2 linked regions of the Rattus norvegicus genome follow. The protein of the gene in region 2 interacts with the protein of the main gene of each other region in a pairwise test. Links are inferred from orthologs where the notes say so. Each region holds a gene or a part of one and is shown on either strand. Other genes may lie near its edges. The genes, in order: Zfyve27 and Fkbp8.

What was found.
Region 1: the proteins of Fkbp8 (region 2) and Zfyve27 interact in binary tests that used the Homo sapiens proteins (3 or more experiments, as listed by UniProt). The link is inferred for Rattus norvegicus from reciprocal best matches to the Homo sapiens genes FKBP8 and ZFYVE27.

Annotation. Positions count from the first base shown.
Region 1 is NC_086019.1:250,927,780-250,932,175, forward strand, and holds the start of Zfyve27 (protrudin), read left to right. Parts: upstream 1-1,351; 5' UTR 1,352-1,536; intron 1,537-2,251; 5' UTR 2,252-2,252; coding exon 2,253-2,449; intron 2,450-4,396. UniProt on the Homo sapiens protein: Key regulator of RAB11-dependent vesicular trafficking during neurite extension through polarized membrane transport. Promotes axonal elongation and contributes to the establishment of neuronal cell polarity.
Region 2 is NC_086034.1:18,933,588-18,938,139, forward strand, and holds the start of Fkbp8 (peptidyl-prolyl cis-trans isomerase FKBP8), read right to left. Parts: upstream 2,957-4,552; 5' UTR 2,905-2,956; exon of another isoform or gene 2,636-2,904; intron 1,390-2,635; 5' UTR 1,365-1,389; coding exon 1,103-1,364; intron 1-1,102. Other genes in the region: Kxd1 (kxDL motif-containing protein 1), read left to right, coding at 2,990-3,097. UniProt on the Homo sapiens protein: Constitutively inactive PPiase, which becomes active when bound to calmodulin and calcium. Seems to act as a chaperone for BCL2, targets it to the mitochondria and modulates its phosphorylation state.

The sequences.
Region 1 (4,396 bases), on a different chromosome or scaffold from region 2:
AAATCCCAGCAACCACATGGTGGCTCACAACCATCTGTAGTGAGATCTGATGCCCTCTTCTGGTCTGAAGACAGCTACAATGTACTTACAAATAAATAAATCTTAAAAAATTAAAAAAAAAAAAAAAGAGTAAAGATTTCAGAGCCTGTGGGACAATGACCAGCCTTAAGGAAGTGGGAAGAGTTGAGATTCCCCGTACAGCTGAGTCCTGACTGGCAGAGCAGGTGTGCCTGTTTCTCTGAAAAAGAGATGCTGGACGGATGTCAGGGAAGCTTTGGGGTGGTTCAGAGGAGTGGTTATTGTCGGTTGAGCGGCCTTCCCTGGCTGCTCACACCTGAGTCCTGCTAAGACAGTTGGTTTGCTTGCCTTTGGATGGAAGCAAGAAGCCGGGCAGGCAGGTGTGACAAGCAATTTGAGGAGTTGGCAGGAGTCCAGGGCCGTTGCAGGTAAAAACGGGGTTCAGTTGGCTGAGGCACTTGAAAGAGAACAAACAGCAGGATAGATGAAGCCAGTAGTTGCAGACTCATGTGGGCGGTGGTATGGCTGGGGTTACTGGCATCCAGTGATATATTTGGCTCAAATCCCAGTTCCAAGAGGTTTATGTGCTGTGACATTAAAGAAGTTACTTACCATGACTACAATTCCTCATCCGTGAAATGGTGATAACCCCAACAGGGTTGGTTATTGAAGGAGGAACAGATGAGATAATGTGAACACAAAGCTTACTGTACTGCCTGGCTGTTGGTTAATGCAAACCCATGGGAAGTGTGTTTTAAGGGACACCAGCTGGGTCACAAGATGTGAAGAAGAGTTAGGAACCAAGGAACCACCGGTCTGTCTCTGCTAGGCACCTGACATACAAGATGTGTTTTCTGCCTTCCCTAGCCTCTTTTTTATCCAGATTTTTATCCAGTTTTTATCCAGATTTTCTTTCTTTTTTATCCTTCTCCACCCCCACCCCTACCCTTTTTTGTTTTTGTTTTTGTTTTTGAGCCAGGAGCTCCCATAGCCAAGGCTGGCCTTGAACTAGCCTCCAGCCTCAGAAACTCAAAGGCTGTGGTTACAAGAAGTGCGTCACCACGCTAGGCTCTGTAACTGTCCTTGCTGTAATGTTCCGGAGCTAGGCTGGCTCCCAGGAATTAGGTCCTAGGTTTCCGGGTCATTAAAAGTGAGTCATCTCTTGTATGGCAGGGACGGAGTTAACCAGAAATTAGCCACAGAGGGGAAAAGTGCGCAGGCGCAGTATCGACGAGCTCGATCACCTGCGCTTGGGTGGGAGGGGCTAAACTCGGAGGCCCGACCCAAGGCGGGACGGGCGAGGTGACGTCACGGGCGCGCCACCGCAGAGTGAGTCGCGTCCCGGAAGCGACGGCGGTGGTGGGGCAGACTGTTCTCTGGTGGACTTGCGATTTCGGAGCGTCTGTGGGAGGTGGCGCGGCGTGGGGTGGGGCGGGCCTGAGGGGCCGCTCCCGGGCTTGGTGGCCCTTCTGTCCCCTTGGGCGCCCCTGCCCCTCCCATTCCTGGGACAGTGTCCGGGTAGGTGACGACCATCACGCCCCAGCCCCACTGTATTTATTTACAGAGCCTGGTGCTCCCGTCGGGAGGGGACCGCCACCTGCTGGCACAGCGATCTTAGGCGTGGCCTGCCTTGCGCCGCCTGGGAGGTGATGGTGGTCGAGGCCTCTGTCCGCATTGACCTGCTGAGCCTGTCTCGCGCTAGCCCGGGTTTGCTTTCTTCCTAGCACGTTCTATCGAGAGTTTGGGGTCCAGTGGACTCCTTTCCAAGTGATGAAAGGAGCCAGGGTTAAGAGCGTGACAAGAGTGTTGTTAGGAAAAATTCATGAACCTTTGGGAGCCCTGGTAAGGGTCACCCAGTGTACACTAGCGCGTTCATAAAGACGTCCCAGAGCAAGATGGTCCCCTAACCCTGACACCTGAAGGATGAGTAGGGGAAAAGAGAGGAGAAAGATATCACAGGACATCTTTTCTCTTGGGATTACCAATTACCTCCCTTCAACAATTAATGGCTTGTATGCTCTTGAAAAGTCTGTGAGGGAAAAGAGCGTTGGAGGGGCTCGTGAAGAACAGGCTTTATATCGAAGGTATCCCCTTCACTCTGCTGTTCTTCAGAAGGAACAAAGTTTCTTTCCGTGTGAAACGGGTATTGGTGCTTACCTCACATGGTTGATGCAAGGGGAAATGTGTTTGAAGACTGGACATGCATTGTGAGTGTGGGGAATTACGATTACAGAATGCAGTCTTCGGATCGGGACCTGAGTGGACCAGAGGCGAGCCCCAGCGTGATGCCTGAGGTTCTCTCTGAGTGTTCACCTGCCCCTACCAAGTCAACAGCGTTTGATCTTTTCAACCTGGTTCTGTCCTACAAGAGGCTGGAGATCTACCTGGAACCCCTGAAGGATGCAGGTGACGGTGTTCGATACTTGCTAAGGTACAGATTTCAGGGGTTGTTCTTCCTTTGGGCTCTCTTGTCTCCCTGGTCTTTAGCAGTTCTGGCCAGTTGGCAGTAGTCGGGCTGTCCTTTCTGCTCCAGTGATGACTAGTTCTGGTGAGACTAGTTGTCTGACCTCTAGACTTATTCAGAGCTAGTTGTGTTCTAGCTCTGTGCAGGAAAGGTGGGATCTGGGAACCACTTGGTCTTCCTCAGGACTCTGTGGTTGGATAAGCTCCTCTTAGGTACTGTCAGAAAGCCTTGGACATTGGCCTGGTATAGCTTAGAGCAGACTCTGGTCCGTCCCCCCACCCCCTTCTCTCCTAATATTAGCATAATTAATCTTAAAATCCTGGTTTTATTATTTTGTATGCATGTGGCATTGCGTGCAGGTCAGAGGGCAGCTTTTGGGAGTTGGTTCTCCTTCCATGGTGCATTCTAGGGATCAAACTCAGGCTTGGCAGCAAGCACTCTACTGGCTAAGCTATCTCACCGTCAAGTTATAATTTTAAACAAACCTCAACTACAAATACCTTTGAAAAAACTAGATGCCATTTTTATTTGTTATTTAGGATTATGGTTCTCAAATTTTTTCCTATTTTGCTTCATTTTATCCTCTGTAATTTTCTTCTAGGCTCCTTAACTTTTCCTTTTGTTGACGGTAGTCTGAAACTCGTAGTTCAGGCTGCTTGAAGACTTACAACAAATGTTCTGTTTCAGACTCACAAGTACCAGGACCAACTTGCTTAAAAAAATGTTTGGTGTTTGTTTGTTTTCTGAAACATGGTCTCATTGTGCATCCCTGGCTGTCCTGGAAGACACAGAGGTCTGACTGCCACTGTCTGCTGTGCTGTGATTAAGGGCACCACCATGCCTAGCCTGTGTTTTTTACATTAAAAATTATTTTCCTTAAGTGATTTATCTACGTTTTTAGATTTTACGTGTATGGCTTTATTATCTGTATATATTTCTGTGTACCATGTGTTTGTTTGGTGTCCTCAGAGACCAGGAGAGGTTGTCAGATCACCTGGAACTGGAGTTACATATGGTTTGACCTGCCGTGGGGGTGCTGGGAACTGAACCTGGGTCTTAACCAATGAATCACCTCTTCATCTCCTGGCTTTATTTATGTTAAAAAGTATTTTATCTGAGAATATGCCTATAATCCCAGAATTTAGGAGGTAGAGACAGGAGGATCAGATGTTCAAAAATCATCTTTCACTCCGTAGCAAGTTTGGGGCCAGCCTGAGCTATTTAACACCCCCTTCTCCCCAAAAAAGAACAGAACAGAAAGATAGCTTTAATTGCAAATAAATGGCTTTGCACTTCTGATTACTTCAGTTTATTTTTTTTAATGTATTTACTTATTTTATATATATGGATACACTGTAGCTGTCTTCAGACACATCAGAAGAGGGCATCAGATCTCATTACAGATGGTCATGAACCACCATGTGGTTACTGGGAATTGAACTCAGGACCTCTGGAAGAGCAGTCAGTGCTCTTAACCACTGAGCCATCTCTCCAGCCCCAGTTTATGTTTTTTAATAAAGGCATTTGATATCATCAAAGTCATGTTATACTTAGTTAAAAGTAATTCTTTGATATCTTTCTCTGGTCATTTCCCACTTTCCAATTTTTTCCAAGGATGTCACGGACACTTGTTTTGCATCTCCTGTCAGGTTCCTATCCAGCACTGTATTTTTTGTGGTTTTTATATCCTATAAGTCTTTTTCAAACTAAACCAGGCTCTTGTTTCATGTACTGGTTTTCTGAAGTGGCTGGACTCACTACCCTGGAGAATTTCCTTCTGAGAATTGTCTGGCTAGTTATATATAGCTCTTTAACTGGAAGTTAGACTAAAAACTGGATTTCATTCAAGCTAAAGACTTTCTTTTCAAAAGGAAATATTTGCCCTTAACGTGCATTACACCAAGAACCACATAA
Region 2 (4,552 bases):
CATGGAACACAGCTGGCCTGGTTGGCTCCTTTTTTTTTAAGACAGGGCAAACAGCCTAGCTGAATATGCCTTTTACCTCATACCCAACATGCCTGGCCAACATGGCTGTTCTGGACTTTTTTTAAAAAAAAATTAAATGTGTTTTTTGTTTTTTTGTTTTTTTTAATTTCATGTCTATGTGCATTCTGCCTGCATGGGTGCAGTGCTGACAGAGTCCAGAAGAGGGTGCCATATTCACGCAAACTGGAGTTACACACAACTGTGAATGCAGGTGCTGGGGATTGAACACACAACCTCTAGAAAAGCAATCGGTGCTCTTAACCATTAAGCCACCTCTCCAGCTCCGGCTGGTCAGGGTTTTAAGAAACCCTTACTAGAACTCCCTAGTGAGAGGTTAGGGGTAAGCCCCAGTGGTAGAGCCTCTGCCTTCCATTCCCTAGCACCCTAGCACCCCTCCAAAAAAAAAAAAAAAATTTAAAATTAAAAAAAAGAAAAGAAAAGAAACACAAAAATCCTGCTGGCACTATCTAGAGAAGGGATTTTAGGAGAGAAAATGAATGTTGTGGAACAAGAGGAGGGTGATCAGAACCTGATGCTCTGTTGGGCTGTGCCAGTTTTTAAGACTCTGTCACACATCTACACAAATGCTTAGGGAAGATGTAGTGGAAGTTGTCTTAGAGCTGCTGGCACCCAGTGCAAAGGCTGTGTGGCTCCAAGAAGGTGACTCAGCCTCTCTGAGCTGCTGTTTCCAACACTGGGGGTAGAAAGCAACCTGTTACAGATTGTGTGAGCAAGGCAAGGTATGAGCCAGCAAACACACTGGTATCAAGCCATCTCGGAAGCCAGCCACACAGCACAGGCCTGTGAGACCAGCGAGCCTGAGACAATGAGTCAGGAAGATCCAAAGTTCAGACCCAGCTTGGACTATAGTGTGAGTTCAAGGCCAGCCTGGGTTTCACAGTAAGGTTATTTCAAAATAAACAAATAAAAATCAGCCACTGATATCCTAATGTCACTTCCAACCCACACAGAAGGGGAAACAAAGCTCAAGAGACCAGAAATCCCTGGGTCAAGGTGCCTCTGACCAACCCAGCACACTTACCCAGAATGTCCAGCCACTCTTCCGGGGCGGGGGCTGGGGCTGGCTCAGGCTCTGTGGCTGCCAGGAACTCCCGAGCTAGGGCTCCAGGCTGCTCAGCCTCCTCCACCGTAGGCTGTCCCATATCCTCTAGTGGTGGCAACCCACTTAGGTCATCTTCCTCCTCTGCATCATCAACCCCATCAAGCACCTCAAAGCCCTCCAGGAGTGGGGCCCCACAAAGTAGCTGGGCAGCAGGCTCAGAGGGCTCGGCCCAAGACGCCATGCTGCTGGGGGATCAGGAACTGGCCCTAGGGGAACAGTTAAGCATGACAGTGATAACCCCATCTAGGAAGGCCCTCTAACTCTCCTAAGCTCCAGTTCCCTACAACTGGCATCCCTGGAGTATATCAGCAACACCAGCCCTTGCATTCATCATGTACATACTGGGCACCCTACCAACCTGGCTTGTTGAAAGAAGGGTGCAGAGACCTCACACTCTGAGCCACAAACTACAGCTGGTTTAGCTGTTATTAGAAGTAATTAGCATGGAATCTTTATAAACAAGAACGTAGGAAAACCATAGCTTACACAAAAAAGACCCAACAGGCACAGAAAGACAAAGCCACTTGGTCAAGGTCAGAAATCAAGCCAATTAGCAGTAGGGCCAAGATTTAGAAGTTACTGAACTGAATGTCAAGAAAAGGGTGTTGGAGTTACTGAGGCAGTGGGGACAGTCACTGAGGCCTTGGGACAGCTGTTTGTTTGCTTGTTTTTTCTTAAACTTTTACTAATTCCTTTCCACAAACTGGGACAGCTGTTTTTATAACTTCTGGATCTCTTGAGAAAAGTGAATTTTTGTAAAGGTCCTTGCCTCTGGCTACCTTATCTGCTAAAGGCTCCAGCAATAAAGAATTGGTGCCAGATACTTAATGTCTCTTGTTCCGTACCCTGAAGGTACTGAATCTTCCAACAACAGGGACCATGGCTCCAACCTGCCTCTATTATCAAGCCTGCTTCCAGCTTTTAATCACAGTAGGGCACTGGGGACATAGCTCAGGCAATAGGGCACTTGTCTACCAAGCACAAAACCCATGGTTCTATTCCCAGCACTGCAGAAACCAGGCATCAGCAAATGTCTTTCATCCCAGCAATAGGGAGGTGGAGGAAGGATGATCAGGTATTCAAGGCCATGGAATTCATGAATTACATGACACCCTGTCTCCAGAAATTTAAAGCATAAGCTAAGGTTGTAATTCGTTGGAAGAGCGTTCTCCTACCAAGCACACCGCTTTAGAATCAGCACCCTTGTAAAACCTGGTGTGGCAGTGCTCGCCTGTCATCCAGCTCTTGGGAGCTTGAGACAGGAAGGCCTGGAGTTCAAGGCCAGCCTGAGCTACACAGCCACTTGGAAGACTGAGTTAGAATACATGAGACCCAGTCTCAAAATTAAATGAAAACGAAAGAGTAGTGGGAACACCAATATTGAATCTTGCACCATCTCGCTGGCCCCAGGCCTCTCTACGGAGGATCCCCAACCCAGCTGCAGAACCGTACATCCTGTCAGGCCCTCTCCTTAAGCTCCAGGAAGCCCCGGAGCTCCGCGTCCCTGCCCTGCGACCCTCACCTGCGGGGCTCCTTCCGGGATCCGGCCCCGACCGGAGACCCTCCCACCCCGAGCCCCCACAATGCCCCGCGCGCCCCGCACCCCAACGCCGCCCCGCGCCCGGTCGACACTACCACCCTGGGAGGCCCCGGTCCCCGCAGACTCGGGAGGCCTCGGCCCCGGGAGCCTCGGCCTCCTCGCTACGCTCCGTCTCACGTGCCTGCGGCTTGGGGACCCCGCTTGGGGTCCTGTGCCCCCCTCCCCACCCCCAGTCGCGGCCGCCGCGCCTCGGGAAACAGCTTCAGATGCGCAGCCCCGCCCCCGCGTGCCCATTGGCTGGTCACGCCGCGGCTGCCACGCTTATTGGCTTCTGCACACGTCTGTCTCGCGCCCTGGACACCGCCTTTTTCCTGGTAAGCTCCGCTGCCCGTTCTTAAAGGGGCTCTAGCCTCTGGGTGGAGAGGCTGTAGTGATTAGGGGGTGGGAACGCACTTGGTTGAGCCTCAGGAGACGAAGGTAGCAGCACGTCCTGATTTTAGTTTACACCGTGTCGGGCTTCCTCCTGTTCACATACGAATTAGAAATAAACAAGAAACACCGCAGCTCATGAGCGGCCAGTTTGGGGCTCTTTAGAAAACAGTAATTTTTCATAATTTTACTTAACACTTCATTTCATGTCCTCTTCCCCCCACCCCCTCTGTTCTCCTGGGGCGTGGGGAGCTCTGTAGTCCTGGCTGTCCTGGATCAGCACATATACCAGATGAGGCTGGCCTTGAACTCAGACATCATACTGCCTCTGCCTGCTACTGGGATTAAAGGTGTGTGCCACCACACCGGTCTCAATTCTTTTATTATAGTATTCTCTCTTTTTTTTAAGTTTATCATTTTTATTAATTAACAGTTGTTACATAATACACACACACATAAATATATCCATATACATATATATTCCTAGATACAAGTTGTTTAGTCTGTGTGATGCCACTTCTATGCATGTGTTCAGGGCTGACCATTTGGTATTGGATGTGTTTTTCCATGGAGAAGAGGAATTCTCCCACTCTCAGCACCCCATAGTATTCTCTTTTGTCTCACGTTTTATATTGTCTTTTAGTTAGCCAGGGTCTGACCATGTAGCACAAGCGGGCAGCAATCTTCCTGCCTCAACTTCCTGATTGCTGGGAGCCAACACTTCTGACTACAAGGTGTTTAGCTTGTTGTGAGGTTTCGGGGGGTCTTGTGTGACTGCTTACTAAACTACATCGAAGGTAGGGACGTGGTGAGGAAGCCAGGGAGGGCCCTTGCCTGTCATCTCAGCATTTGATAAGTGGGCGTCAGAGGATCAGAATTCACACTGTCTAAAAGAATAGTAGGTCAAAGCTGAGGGACAGTGACAAGTCCAAGTGGACACTCTACGGCCCCCAGCCACTATGTTCTAGTTTCACGATAGTCACCTGCAGCATACAGGTGTTCAGTAAGTGCCTGCTTTCCCAGAAAGCTCCGCCAGAAGTGCTAGATACCAGAGAGAAGGCAGGCACCTCTCACCAGATAGTGCTCATCCACTCTCCAGAGCTGTTTTATGCCCTCCCTGGGCTGTCCCCTTTCAAGAATGATTGTGTAATTCTTTCACTTGATATCAAAGAAACCATGGGCTAGTTCCAGTTCTGAGGGCTTTGAACCTGACCATATCTGAAACCCAGTGGGTTGTTTTTTGTTGTTCTTTGGTTCTTAGTACTTGGAATGGATTCTGGGGCCTTTGCACATGTTAAGCTGCTGCTCAGTTGAGCAGTGCAGACCTCAGTGTCTTTTTTTGTTTGTTTTTACACGTGGGAATACATACATACATACATACACTTACACATCTATATGGA